Rattus norvegicus: one gene and its partner. The protein of the gene in region 2 interacts with the protein of the main gene of each other region in a biochemical or structural test. Links are inferred from orthologs where the notes say so. Each region holds a gene or a part of one and is shown on either strand. Other genes may lie near its edges. The genes, in order: Dcaf7 and Dyrk1a.

What was found.
Region 1: the proteins of Dyrk1a (region 2) and Dcaf7 form a complex in vitro, tested with the Homo sapiens proteins (2 studies listed by BioGRID). The link is inferred for Rattus norvegicus from reciprocal best matches to the Homo sapiens genes DYRK1A and DCAF7.

What each region holds. Positions count from the first base shown.
Region 1 is NC_086028.1:91,471,054-91,478,355, reverse strand, and holds the start of Dcaf7 (DDB1- and CUL4-associated factor 7), read right to left. Parts: upstream 4,457-7,302; 5' UTR 4,229-4,456; coding exon 4,091-4,228; intron 1-4,090. UniProt on the Homo sapiens protein: Involved in craniofacial development. Acts upstream of the EDN1 pathway and is required for formation of the upper jaw equivalent, the palatoquadrate. The activity required for EDN1 pathway function differs between the first and second arches.
Region 2 is NC_086029.1:47,463,674-47,470,278, reverse strand, and holds part of Dyrk1a (dual specificity tyrosine-phosphorylation-regulated kinase 1A), read right to left. Parts: intron 1,679-6,605; coding exon 1,372-1,678; intron 377-1,371; coding exon 252-376; intron 1-251. UniProt on the Homo sapiens protein: Dual-specificity kinase which possesses both serine/threonine and tyrosine kinase activities. Exhibits a substrate preference for proline at position P+1 and arginine at position P-3.

The DNA of each region.
Region 1 (7,302 bases), on a different chromosome or scaffold from region 2:
ACTGCTACTGCACTGTTCACGACAGCAAAGACAAACTCTCCACCCACAGGTCCATCAGCAGGTGAGTGGACAAAGCGAAGGGAGCACAAACACAAGGGAATCCTATTCCGCTGTAAGAGAAAAGGAGGTTTGCAAGAAAATAGGTGGAACTGGGAGTCATCATGATGTTAGGAGAAACAGACTCAGAATGACAAATAGTGTTTTCTCTCATACACACACACACACACACACACACACACACACACACACACACACACACCCCTGTGCATATATACACAAAAGGAGAAAGGGGACTGTGAGTGGAGAGGAGGAGGTCTAAAGGGAGAAAGGAGGACAGAGATGGGAACGGAACATATTTGGCAGGAAGGCAAGTGGGAGAGCTGCTTAGGAGAAGAGGGGACAGGAAGAGAGAAAGACAGGGAAACAGGGTTGGGAAGGAGGAAGGATCAGAACAAAATATAATGAATGGGATGTATGAAAATACCACAAGACATTCTTCTTTAAAATAACAGAAAATTAATTTTAAAAAAGGGGAATGTACAAATTGCTTCCATTTATACCTTTATTGACAGTAAATAAGTGCCAATCCTCCCATATCTCTGAAAACATAAAAATTAAAAATAAGCTTTCTGCTAATCTAACAGGAAAAGATGGCATGTTTTACACCCGTTTATTACTGAGGTTGAGCATAAGAACTCATCATGTCAGCTCTTCCCTCCATCTGTTAGCCTCATAGCTGAGGGTTTTCTTGTCTCATTGCTCTGGTGGGAGCTCCTCTCCAACAATGCCTACACTCAGGCCTCCCTTCCCACACCTACTCTTTCTTTCTCAGTGTAATTTCTGTTTTCCCCACTCCCAGCACAGGGATTGAATCCAGGACATCGCACACACTAGTCAAGAATCCTACCCACTCAGCTCTCTCCTCAGCTTTGTTTTCACTTTTTAAGACAGGTTCTCACAAAGTCAACCTGGCTAGCCTTAACTTCGCTCTATAGCCCAGGCTAGCCTTGACTTCATGCTCCCCTTCTTTAGGCTCCCAAGTAATTGGCAACCTGTCCTCCTCCTTCTTGTCCCAAAAGACTTTTCCCTTTGTCCAACAAACTCCTGTTGTGGAGAAGTGCAGTTCTGCACTATAGCCTTCTTAGGTCCAGCATCCTACCACTCTTCCTTACACATTGAGGGAGGGCTGGAAATTAGCCCTGACAGCTGTCATCCTGCGACGGTCAGTCTTTCCCTCCAGTCTCCCCCTGCTCTGCTGGGTCTCGTCTGACTCCTACCTTCAGTGCCTTGTGCGGCCACTCTTCACAACTTTCTCCAACATGTGAGACAAAGCCCTAGAGAGGAGAGCTATGAAGCAGAATCATGTTTACTCATTGAAAAAAAAATATGTTGGTGCTTTAAAAAAAACAGTCTTGCTGTCTCTCCCAGACTGGCCTTGAAGCTGGGACCTACTGAGATTTAAGGCACATTACCACCCTTGGCCTATTTTTTTCCTCGTTTTTATTTTTTGAAAGATTGCTTTTTAAAATTTTGTTTATGTACAGAATGTTTGACAGTCATGTGGAAATCCTTTAAATTTTTATTAGATTTTGTTACGTGTGTATGTGTATTTCACCAATGCCTGTTGGTTCCCCTGGAACTGGGTTATGAGCCACCATGTGGGTGGTAGGAGTTAGCCCTGGTTCTCTGTAAAAGTCCTCCCTCTAGCACATGATAGTCACAGCCATGCCTTCCCCAGTTCGTGTGGCTTTGGATGAGTTGTCTGCTTCGTCTCAGTTTCTTTCTGTGTTAAGATGAGGTAGAGTCAGATAACTTAGTTAGAAAGGTTTTTGTTCTTGTTCTGCGGATTTAACCAAGGACCTCGTGCATGGTTTGGTTACACCAACAGCTTGGGAAAGTGATTAATGACTCCAAGTGTTGGTTGATTTGAATAACACAGACATTTATCCCACACTTAAATGACCACTATGGAGTTCCACATCAGCACTGTGTATCCTAAAGTGGAATAAATTCTCTCTCTTCACAGAGCTTATGACAACAAACAAAGAAGGAGATATGGCACTTTTATTTTAGAAAGACAAAACCCACAAGGTAGTGGAACAGGGCGACATATGTTGGTAATCCCTGCCCTTGGGAGGTGGAGGCAGGTGGATAAGGAGTTCAAATCCCACCTGGGCTACATGAGACTGTCCCAAAACATAATAACCTCTTAAGATAGGAATGGTATATGTTTATTATCCACAGAAATCAAAGGAAAGATGCATGCTTCTAGGGTTTTTGTTTGAAACAAGGTCTTACTTTGTAACTCTGATTGGTTGGGAGCTCACTATGTAGCCCAGGCTAGCCTCAAACTTATAATAATCCTCCTGCCTCACCCTTTCAAAGGCTGGGATTACAGGTGACAGCCACCAGGCCCAGCTCGAGGGTTATTTTATATTACATACTTGCTCCTCAGGAGGCACTGGATATGTTCATAGTTTTAAATGAGGCACTGGAGAGATGGCTCAGCTGACAAGAGCACTTGCTGCTATTGCAGAAGACCTGTGGTCATTCGGTTCCTAGCACTCACACTGGGTAGCTTACAACAGCCTGCAACTCCAGCTCAGGGACACCCTCTTCTGGCCTCTGCAGGCACTCAACTTCTCCTTTTTTAGATAAAAAACTCTGGAAGAACTTAAAAGGGGAAAAAATTAATTTGTGTGAAAAAAACCCCACAGTCCTTTGAGAATATTTTACTTTTACTTCTAACAAGAATCCTTAAATAATATTTCTAGTGGTCTTAACCTTACAAACACTACAGACACCAGAACCCTGAAACACAGCTACAGGGTTATTGCCACTGTGGGTGGAGGGCGGGGGGGAGGGGGACAAAAGCCACTAGAGAGGAGAAAAGAAATAAGGCTCTTCCTTAGGAAAGGGCAGCTCAGTACACACTCCCTGGGACTGTATATGTGTGGTGTCTGGGCAATCAAAGTCCATTCTTTTCATCCATTTCTCAAAGAAGACTCCAAAGAAACGGGGACCTTTACCCAGAGAAACATGTGTGCTCCTGAAATACTATAAATGAACCTAAATATTCAAATGTTTTCACCTGGACCTTCACATGTAAAACATGTAAGCCCTCTCAGAAAAAATAAAAATTCGGTCTGTGCAATGCCTTATAGTTAAATCCTAGACCATCTACTTCTTCCACTCCTCCCCCCCATCTTGTCATTTGTCTCCAGTCTGATGTTCATAGGAGTAAGCCAGAGTACTGGCTCTAAACACCACTGGCCACAGCTTTCTGTAGCTCTGATTACTGTCGTTCGTATTTGTTTTCACCCAAATTACAACAAAAGAATGAAGGTAAGAGATTAGGGAAAGAAAATTCTTCCTAATACTTTCAAACCTATATCCTGCATATAAAAACTCTCCTTCTACCAGCATTTTGTTGGAGTGATGATGTCCAGCAATGTTGCAAATCAACGTGTAAGGAACAACGAGAAGAATAGGTCAAACGTCATCTTTCTCTATTCAGAAATAATGGCGGGATAATGCCACAGACTAAGGTTTCCAAGGATAGACTGTTTGGGGGAGGGTGAACATCGAGGAGCAAAACCAGTGACCAATGACAACCTAGCACTAGGGCTCTGTATCCATGAGAAACACCTGAGATGGGGAAGATCTTGCAATAAATAGCCCCAACAGAAATCTCGCGTGGCCAGGAATGCACGACCACCAATCCAAGCGCCCGCATCTTCCTCCACTGCCTCTCTCCCGCCCCCCACCTAGCAACAGAAGCACTGCGACAGAAGTGGGGGAAATGAGAGGGACGGAGGAAGACATGGCTTTGGGGGGTGTAACTCCGGTCTGAAACCTGCTACTACCATCAAAAATCTTATCTGCCTCAGGCATGTCACAACACCGTGCCTCGGTTTCCCCGGCTGTCAAAACTAAATAAGAGGCAACGAGTGTGACACCCTCAGCAACAGGACCTCAGAGGACCCACCCCCTTGTAAAGGCGAGTTCGCAGGAGACTTGTGAGATCTGGGGCTGCCGCCCACCTCGAGCGTTCCTCGCCAGCTACAAGCTGAGCCCCCTCACAACTTACCTTGTTGTTGTACTCCTCCACGAAGCTGCCCAGCGCCAGGCGAAAGCGCTTGTCCGGCCGCACGCTCCAGTTCATGGCGTACACAGTCCAGGGCGCTTCATATTTGTAGATCTCCTTCCGTTTGCCGTGCAGGGACATGGTGGCGGCTGGGCCGCAGAGACGGCCGGAGAGGCAGCGGGCTGAGGCACAAGACGGGCGGGGAGCGGGGCTTGGGTCCGCGGGTCCGAGGGGAGGCGGGGCCCGGGCGGTCAAGAACGGCCTAGCCCTCCAGCAGGTCCTCAGCTACACACACACACTCGGCCGGGCCGGACCACCAGTTTCAAACCAGCTCGGGCAGCGACTACCACCTTCCGTTTGGGATGTCGGCCCGCCCTCTCGGAACGGAAGCCACGCGACCCCACAGCGGCGACGAGCGTTGGCTACCGGGCACGTCCTTTCTAAACTGTTCCTTCTTTTCATTGGTCGACACAGTGGTAGCGCCCGCACCCTCCACACAATTGGTCAAAATGTTTGTCATTCTACTTATTCGCCCCGCCCAGCTCCTGGAGGCGGGCTCTTTTGAAGTCCCAAAGATCATTGGCTACCCAAGATGTCAGTCAGACGGATAACGGCGCAGTGCGGGTGAATGGGGGCGTGGGTGACATAGGGGCAAGTGTGCCCCGCTACTGATCCACATTCTAGGCCAAGAGTAAAGCCTGCCACTTCTCCATTGCTGCTGCTGTTCTGATCGCCTCTATCCACTGAGAGTAACGGTCAAATCCACTTTCATAGATGACCTCCTGCCTTTATTTCATCGCCCTAAGTCCAGCGGTCCCTCAGCCTTTGCCAGCCGAGAACTCTTTCTAGCTCCAATGCCCCCTTTTTAACTGTTCCCTTACAGGCCTGATAGAGACCTTCAGGGACAGGCTAGTTTGATTAAGGCTTTCAAATACATACTAAAAAGACTCCTGACTTCTAGGATTGATTTGCAATGGACCTGGCTTTTAGTAACTTACCTTCCTCTCCTGGGGTGTTCAGAACCCAAATGCTAATCCAACCTTAAATATCTATATGCCATGAGTTTGAAATGCAGAAAAGCCTGGATCTAGGTACACCATTATAAATGTAAATGCTTTTAACGATATTGAATGCTTAGGCAGCATTATAAAACACAATTTTTAAGATACGTTATTTAATTTTATGGGTATTTGTATGTGCCTGAGTGGAAGTGTACCACATGTGGACAAGTGTCCACGGAGGTCGGAAGAGGCATCTGATCCCTTGGAACTGGAGTTACAGATGGCTGTGAGATACCATCTGAGAGCCAGGGCTCCAAGCCACGTGCTCTGCACGAGCATCCAGTGCTCTTGAGGTCTATACTATATCTCTCCAGCCCATAAAATACAACTTGTAATGCATGTGATTTTAACAGAAACAAACACTGGGAGCCTCGAGGGACAGGGTATACACTTATCAATCATCTTTTAGTAACGGCCACCCGTAGGAGCAAGTCTACTCTGCACTTTTTTTTTCTTTCTTTCTTTTTTTTTTTTTAATACAAAGAGCCTACCCCTGGTGTTGCAGACCTCTAACCCAGCTCTTGGGAAGTAGAGTTAGGAGGATCAGAAAGTCACTGTCATTCTGGGCTACAGAGCCAGTTAGAGGCAGTCTGAGCAAGTTGAGAATGTTTCAAAATAGTAAAAAGAAAAAAATTAAAAAGTAACTGGATGTCTAGGTATGTATTTTATTGAAAAGTTTGTTTCTGTGCTTATCAGGAAAGTTGGTCCATGATTTTCTATTGGTTACACCATTTCTGATTTCTCAGTGGGCTAATAATGACTTTGCAGAACGGTCTTAGTAGAGGTCTTTGTATTTTATGCAACAGGTCTTTTTTAGAGGTGGGTAGACTTTGGCAATGAATCCATCCAGTCCTGGGCATTTCCTGGCTCAGTGCTGCTTCACTTGTTGCTTGCTATGGATCTGATTAAACTGCTAGCATGCTCTTGATTTAATTTTGTAGGTTATATATGTATAGGAATTCACCCGCTTTTTTCTAGACTTTTTTTTTCAGGCATAGAATATAAACTCGAAAGGGATTCCTAATGGTCCTCTGAATTTCTTTGGAATCTGTTGATGTCCTGTGACGATTCCTGACTTGAAAGACTCTGGAGTCGCTAACAAGCTTTGGAGAATGCGTGGAAGGGATTATTCAGATTGGGTTTGTTGGAGGCTCACCTTAACTGTGGGCGATTCCATCCCATGGTCTGGGGTGCCCTGAGTGTGGGCACCCATCCCTCTCTGCTTTCTGGCTGTAGACACAATGTGACCATTTGGTTGACAGACTGACTTTTATCCTGTGATTACCAGTCTGTAGGTGTCTTTGCCATTGAAGTGGTTTTGGGTTGCTTTGTTTTGTTTTGAGGCAACAGGCAGTCCGCTCTTGGTTTTTAAATGTTCGTTGGTGAGTTCAGGGTATTTCCAGTTAAGATTATTATTGACAGATCCTTGCTAATGTCTGCAGTTGTGTGGGTTGGATTATCTTAGTATGTTGTTCTGGTTCCTGGGCTGCTACCCATGCCTGTTCTCTCTCAGATTCTGCAGTGCTGCATTTACAGGCATGAGCTACTTTTAAAAAAAATTGTGCCTAGGAAGTGCAAGGCCCTGGGTTCGGTCCCCAGCTCCGAAAAAAAGAACAAAAAAAAATTGTGTGCAGGTATGAAGGTGAGAAGGTACACATACATGTGTTTATGAGTACATATATGTGTGTGCATGCTGAAGCCAGAAGGTAACCTTAGGTGCTGTTCTCAGGAATGCTACCCACCTCCTTTGAGACAGTGGCTCCCTTTGACCTCGAGTTCAATAATTAGGATAGAATGGCTGGCCAGTGAATCTCAGGGATCCTGCTGTCTTAGCCTCCCACCCCCACCCCAGTGCTAGGATTGCAAGTACATACCATCACTGCAGGGACTTTTATTAGGGTTTGGGGGTTCAGGTCCTCAAGCATTTTACCCACTGAGCCATCCTGCTAGCCCCCACATGTTGCTTTGAATTAGCGTTGAAGTTTCACTAAGGGTACAAAGAGTGAACGTTTTAGTTCGTGTAAACACTTGCAAACGTGTGCTCGTATATTCACAGACAGACTCTGAGGCACCAAACAGAAATCGCAAAGGGAAGGAAAAATGGACTCGGGGGATGGATTTGCACTTTCTGAGAAGCAATGACGCTTTAACAGG
Region 2 (6,605 bases):
ACCTGGGAGGACAGTGGAGGGACAGTGGAGGGACAGTGGAGGGACAGTGGAGGACACCTGGGAGGACAGTGGAGAGCGTGTTTACCCAATGTGTGCTCTCACTCCTAACAAGGAGCGGAGTTTTATTTGCTAAGCAGTAAGGACACTCCATGCCTTTAGAACGAAGGACACACACATAGTCACCCTGACAGCCCATGGCAGCTCATACAGCCAAAGCTAGTGGGGTCGTGGCAGGAGCCTGGGACGCTCACCTGGGGACTATGTGTCTCACAGTCCATGGCCTGGACAGCAGCAGCGAAGTGCCCGCCACTGTGCCGATGCTGGTGCGTCGGATCCGACCTGGCTCTCCCACTGTTGCTCGTTCCCGAGGATCCACCTTTAACATCAGGACACGGAATAACTTGTGAGTTTAAAGCTAATTCTGCTCAAGTTAGTATCTAAGACTGCCGTTACTGTCACTCAGGGTAAAAAGGACATTCAGGTAAGAGTCCTTGCTCTGCAAGTGCTTGGACCTGTGTGTGGGTCTCCAGCATTCATATAAAAACCTGGCCTGAATGAACCCCAGGACTTGGGGAAGGGGGTGCCACTCCCAAGAACTCACTGGCCAGGCAGCCTGGATACAACAGCAGGACTCTGGTGCAGTGGGACTCCTATTTCCAAGTAATAAGGAAGACACACAGTGTCATGCCCCTACATGTGACCTTAGGTGTGTACATATGCACACATACGTGCATGTACTACACAGCACATATGCAGATACACAAAACTTTCAAGCTACGGTATTAACTTGAAATATACCACAAAGCTACTGGAATATTAGATGTCTTCCTACATCACCTGTTATACAGCCAGGTTCTCCTCAGAAAAGCAAAAATTCAAGGACAGAGTCCATTTAAATGGACATTCAAGTCCATTTACTTGGCTATAAGTAGCTTTGTTGCTACCTGTCAGGCAGATAGTGATCACGTGCTCATTTAACAGTTAATTTGCTACTAACTATACAGCCGGGCAGGTGTATACAGAGACTGAATTAAGAGACACACACAGAACAGATTAAAGTAAAACAATCCCTTGCTACCCATTTACAAAATTCAAATTCAAACAATTAGTTTATAATAAATACTCTGAAAGAATCCCACACTGGAACTGGGCCTTAAATCCCAGCCTCAGAAGGCAGAGGCAGGAGGATCTCTGTGAGTTCAAGGCCAGAATGGTCTACAAAGGAAAGTCCAGGATAGCCAAGGCTACAGAGAGGAACCCTAGCTCAAAAAACCTAAAGAGAAAGGAAACACCCCTGCCCCCAGCAAACAGAAAGCTACAAACAGCCCGCTGTGTGCACCCCCACCCCCACCCCACCCCCACCCCGCTGACCTGAGCTGGAGGAGGTGCTGGAGGTGGTGCCTGAAGACTGGGACTGCTCCATGGCAGGGCTGGTGGACACACTGTTGCTTGTGTTTGTACCTTCATCAGCTGTTTTCTTGAAAAAACTGTGCTGCAGGGCATAATAAGGTTGAATCCGAGTTTTGGGGTCATAATCAAGCATCCTTAAAATGAGGTCTTTGAACTTCAAGTAGTCAGCTACAGTGTGACCTGACTCCCCAGCACGCCGCCCGCCAGGTCCTCCTGTTTCCACTCCAAGAATATTATGAAGTTTACGGGTTCCTGGTGGTTTGTACTCCTGTAGAGAAGAGAGAACAAAAACTTGTCTCTAAGTTTGGTAGGAGATGTAACATTTACATGATCTACTCCAAATATACAAGGCTTTGTGAAGAAAGACCATTATTGAAATAGCTAGATCCCCCACCCCCAGCCCACCTAACACCCATGCTCAGTATGGTTTTAAGAGCAAAACCAAAGACAAGGCATATCAGAGCGGAGCTCAGCAGCCCCGCCCTCTGGCCCCGCCCGAAGCCAGGTTTCTAAAGCTGCTTCACTCAGGAGCATGGCTCCTGCTTTCAAGGCTGTGAGACAAGCAAGCAAAGACAGAGCAAGACACAGAAATCCACAAATCTCCAACCATGATGGCTTCCACAGAGCAGGGCAGAATGGGTTCTGACCTGCTTCACTCTCTAAGTAATGTGTGTTTTGAGACAGGGTCTTACTGTGTAGTCTTGGTTGACTTGCAGCTCAGTACACATAGAACAGGTTAGGTTGAAACTCATGGGGGTCTGCCTGCCTCTGCCTCCCAAATGCTGCAACTGGAATTAAAGTGCCCATCACAATGCCAGGTTTGCTCTGCACCAAAGAACATGCTGCACTGCCTCCCTAAAGGTGGCTCAGTAAAGCTGTGCATGTCACTCAAAGTAGAGGGATCAGTCCACCCAAACCTACTCAGACAGAGAAAAGCTGACTGCTCCTTTTCTTTTACAAAATGGTTCATGAGCTGCTTAACCACAGGATGGCATTTACTGATACTCATCAGTAACAGGGAACAATGTCGTCTTCCACCTTTCTACAAACGCTAAGTAGATGCTAACTGCTGTTTAAAGTCAGGAAACAGGACAAATCACAGTTGTACATGTTCAGCAAGTGTCCTTATACTGACCACATCCCAGCCCCAAAGAGCTGCTATCAGGTTACAAGAGTCCTGTAAGGGGAGAAGGGGCCACCTTGCCAGACCCAAGCAAGGGTAACTCAGCCTTGATCTGACAAGGCATTAACAGCCACTCAGGGAAGGCAGCAAAGGCGCTAGGACAATGCCTGGGCTGCTAGTGAGTGGCAGTGTGTCCAGAGCTTGAGAGCCTCCTTCAGTTGTAAGCAAACAATGCTTGAAGGAGCCTCCTCAGATGGTAATAAACCTGAGTCACACACTAAACACCCACACTCAGACCTTTCTGACAGTACAAGAGACGTGTCTGCTTCTCATGGAAATGACACAAGTCAGCCATCCTCAAATACAGAAAAACTGAAACTTTTTTAAAAGGTTTTTTTAAAAAAATTACAGAAACAAATAACAGAGTCTATAATTTAGTGGGGAAAATGAGTCAACAATCCGTGCTGACAAATGGCCCGGCGTTTCCCAGGCAGGGAACTAGCAGGCAGGGAACTTTAGTAATAAATGTGTAAGGTATATAGTTTAATAGAAGATAGGCAACATGCATGAATAGATGGGATTTCAGAAAAGGAGAAACTGTAAAAAATAAGGACAAATATGAATTTTTAAAGTAAAATACTAAGTGGAGACCCTGCTTTACATTTGCGTGTTGTGACCAAGCAGCCCCAGTGTCACTTTCTCCTTTCTTTAGACAGGTCTCTTACTGGCCTGGAACCTCAGGGTGTCTCCATCTTGCCTGCCCCTAGCCCCCACTGGGATGACAAAAGTACCAAAAATACATCCTCCATTTAGGTGGATTTTAAGGAGTGGCCCATGACATGTATTTCTCCAGCCTGCTGAACACTTCCAACAGCAGAATAGATTTGGAATGTTAGGGAGCCAAGGTGAAAAAAAAAGTGACCAAAAAACAGAGCAAAAATATTAACCAAATTCAAAACATAAGAGCACGGTAGGTGCTACTGCACGCCCCTCTGAAGCCTGAGGATCTCAGGGCAACACTGAGCATGGCAGAACATGCATCCACGGAACTAGACAACTAGAAGGAAGACTGGTCAGGATAACCATTTGATAACACCTGAGGTGCTACAAAAGGCACAGTTCACAAACCCAAGGATTTCAACACCCTCTGAGAGTACACACAAAACAAATCAAAGAGCACAAATGCATAATAACCAAGTATAAAGATAACCTGTTCAAGCACCCTGAAGGGAAAGGAAAACCACATCACAATAAATAGTGCCAAGAACAAACACTGACTTTCCTCACACTGCACCTAAGAAAGAGGCAGACCATCTTTCTTGGGCGTGCTAATCTAGCATTCTGACCCGTGAAGACAGTTTAAGAACAGACAGCGATTAGCTGTATCCCGAGGCAGCAGATGCTCCAATCATAAGCACAAGCTGCGCACTGAAAAAGCTGGGCACAGGCGGGACACGGATACAAGATGGCAGCAAGGGCTCCTCACCCAGTGTGCCTACAGCACTTCCCTTTCCTTGAGGTAAACAGTCGATGTGTTCTAAGGATTCTAAGACATGCAGAAGTGATGTTTACATACAAGCACTCAAGAGCTAGAAGGGAGTTATAACATACAAGGGATAAAGCGTAGGTATCTAAGGGCAACCTGACATAAAGATGCATATTGTGAGACAACACTGAACACTATACACACAACTGAGAAGTCAGCTGAGAAAACAAGTCTCCAGAGCACTCAGCAGCTCCAAACTCAACAAGAAGGAGAAACAGACAAACTAAATGAAAGACAAACCTTAAACCCACTGCTCTGAATGAAATAAATATTCACTGTAAAAAGGAGCAGATGTTAAAACAAGTCCTGCCTATATGTTGCATATAAGTCATGCTTGATGAGAAAGGTTTAAAGTTGAGGAGTTTCATGTGTGCAACCATCACGCACGCATGCACGCACACACGCATGCAAATTGTCAGGATAAAAAACCTGCCGGGGCAGGGCACTAACACACATACAGGACATTTCATGACAATATAAGCATCAGTTCATCAGAAATCACAACAAAACTACCAACAAACCTTTAAAAACCATGACACAACTAAAGACAACTGCAACATAACTACGGCCTGTAATGGTTCAAAGTGATCTGACCGTGCGTTGAATACTTGGTCCCTAGCATAGCTCAGACTGGAGAGGCAGAAGAGCCTCCAGGAGGCAGACAGAGCTAAGATGGGGGCAGCGCACTGGGGAGGCCCAGCCTCAGCTGCATGCCTGCCTCTGCTTCCTGGTTAGCAAATCCACGAGCAAACAGCCTCAGCTCAAACAGGCAGTGAACTACCTCTGCCTGAAGAACTGAGGTAGTGCTCCTAGACTGTGCACTGAAGAAAAGCCATACTCCACGAAGTTGCTTCCTGCCAGGCATTAGTGACAAGAAAAGTAACTAGTACATCACTGAAGGTTAAAATGCCCCTCGGATGTTGACAGAGAAAAGAAAGAAAGAAAGACAGACAGACAGACAGACACACACACACCCCTCCGTTATCAGATACGCATGAAAAGAATCACCAAGACAGAGTCCATTCTAGACTGTAAAACCAGACTCTACATAATTTAAATAAATGAAATCACATTTGGAAAACACGGTGCTATTTAAGTAGAGATGAATTAAGATATCTAGAAAATTCTCAAATATTTTGAAATAACGGAACAAGATTCAAGATAATTGTTAAAAAAAAAAACAAATTACAGGCTACATCAGGAACACCACTACTACATATGAGAATACCACTCTTACCAGACCAGCATTTAACTCAGTGCTACATGAAATGCCAGGACCAAGTGTGCTTTTATCACAGATCAGGATAAAATATTGCATGTCTATTAAAAAATCCACTCTTTAATGAGTGGCGGGAGCAAGGATCACATGACCATCATCTCTGCAGGTGGGGGAAGGCTCACAGAAAGTCTGTGTCACTGCAGCTCCAGCAGGGCTTTGACACGTGAGTGGAGGAGGCTGTAGGACACTAACATGTGCTGCTAGGTTACAGACAGCGCAGGAAGAGTCACACTTGCCAACACAGAAGGTGCCTTGGTTTAACAGAAAAGTATGAAATCAGATCTCTACAGACAGGCAGTTGTCAACCAGCGATGTTCAACACTGCCCCTACACATTACGGCAAGCTCACAAACAATGCTAAACACACATGGGCCTGGCAATTCTCAGACACCGTCACTAGAAAAAAGATGAGTGGTGTTCTTTCTAGCCTTAATCAATTAGACTCTAATTAGATATAAACAAAAAAAGTTCATTGACAGATAATAAATCCCTGTATAGTCAATGAAATACCATGAAGCAGTAAAACAAATTAGGTCCTGGGGTGCAAATTAGGTCCCAGATGCTGTTGTATCAATAAATAAATGGGATGCTTGACAGCAGCACCACGGCCTGCACTAGTCAGCTGAGGGGAGGGGCCAAGGGTGGAGTCCCAGATGAAACAAAGAACAGAGCTGGGCAGCGGCAGCAGCAGCTACTCTCTGCTTCCTGACTGTAAAGACAAAGACAGTCACATCTTGGTCCTCCTGCAGCACACTGTGGTCCACAAGCACCTTGTGGACCACAGTGTGCTGCACCTACAAAATGCAAACCACGAATCCCTTCTCGTCTGTAAGCTGCTTTTGTCAGGTGCCTTGTTGCAGTGAAAAGATAAACATTTGACAGTGGTAACACCAGAGATTACAGTTCTTAAGAAGTGCAGCTGGTGATCACATCCACTTGCAAGAGAAATCAGACAAACAGAACAGAGTAGGAAAGGAAGGCCGAGCTCGTGGAGATACTCTGTATCTTGTGTTAGGTAGTGAGTGCAAAGTGAACACATATGTCTGAGTACTTAGTAACGTAGTAGAAATGTTTGAGTAGATTTAGCAGGACTGGCCTTGCTGAACAAAGTACATAATTGGGGCCAGGCTTCAAGGCTAAAGCCACACGCCATTCCTGGTGTGTGCTTGTTTGCTATCTATCTATCTATCTATCTATCTATCTATCTATCTATCTATCTATCTATCTATCATCTATCTATCATCTAT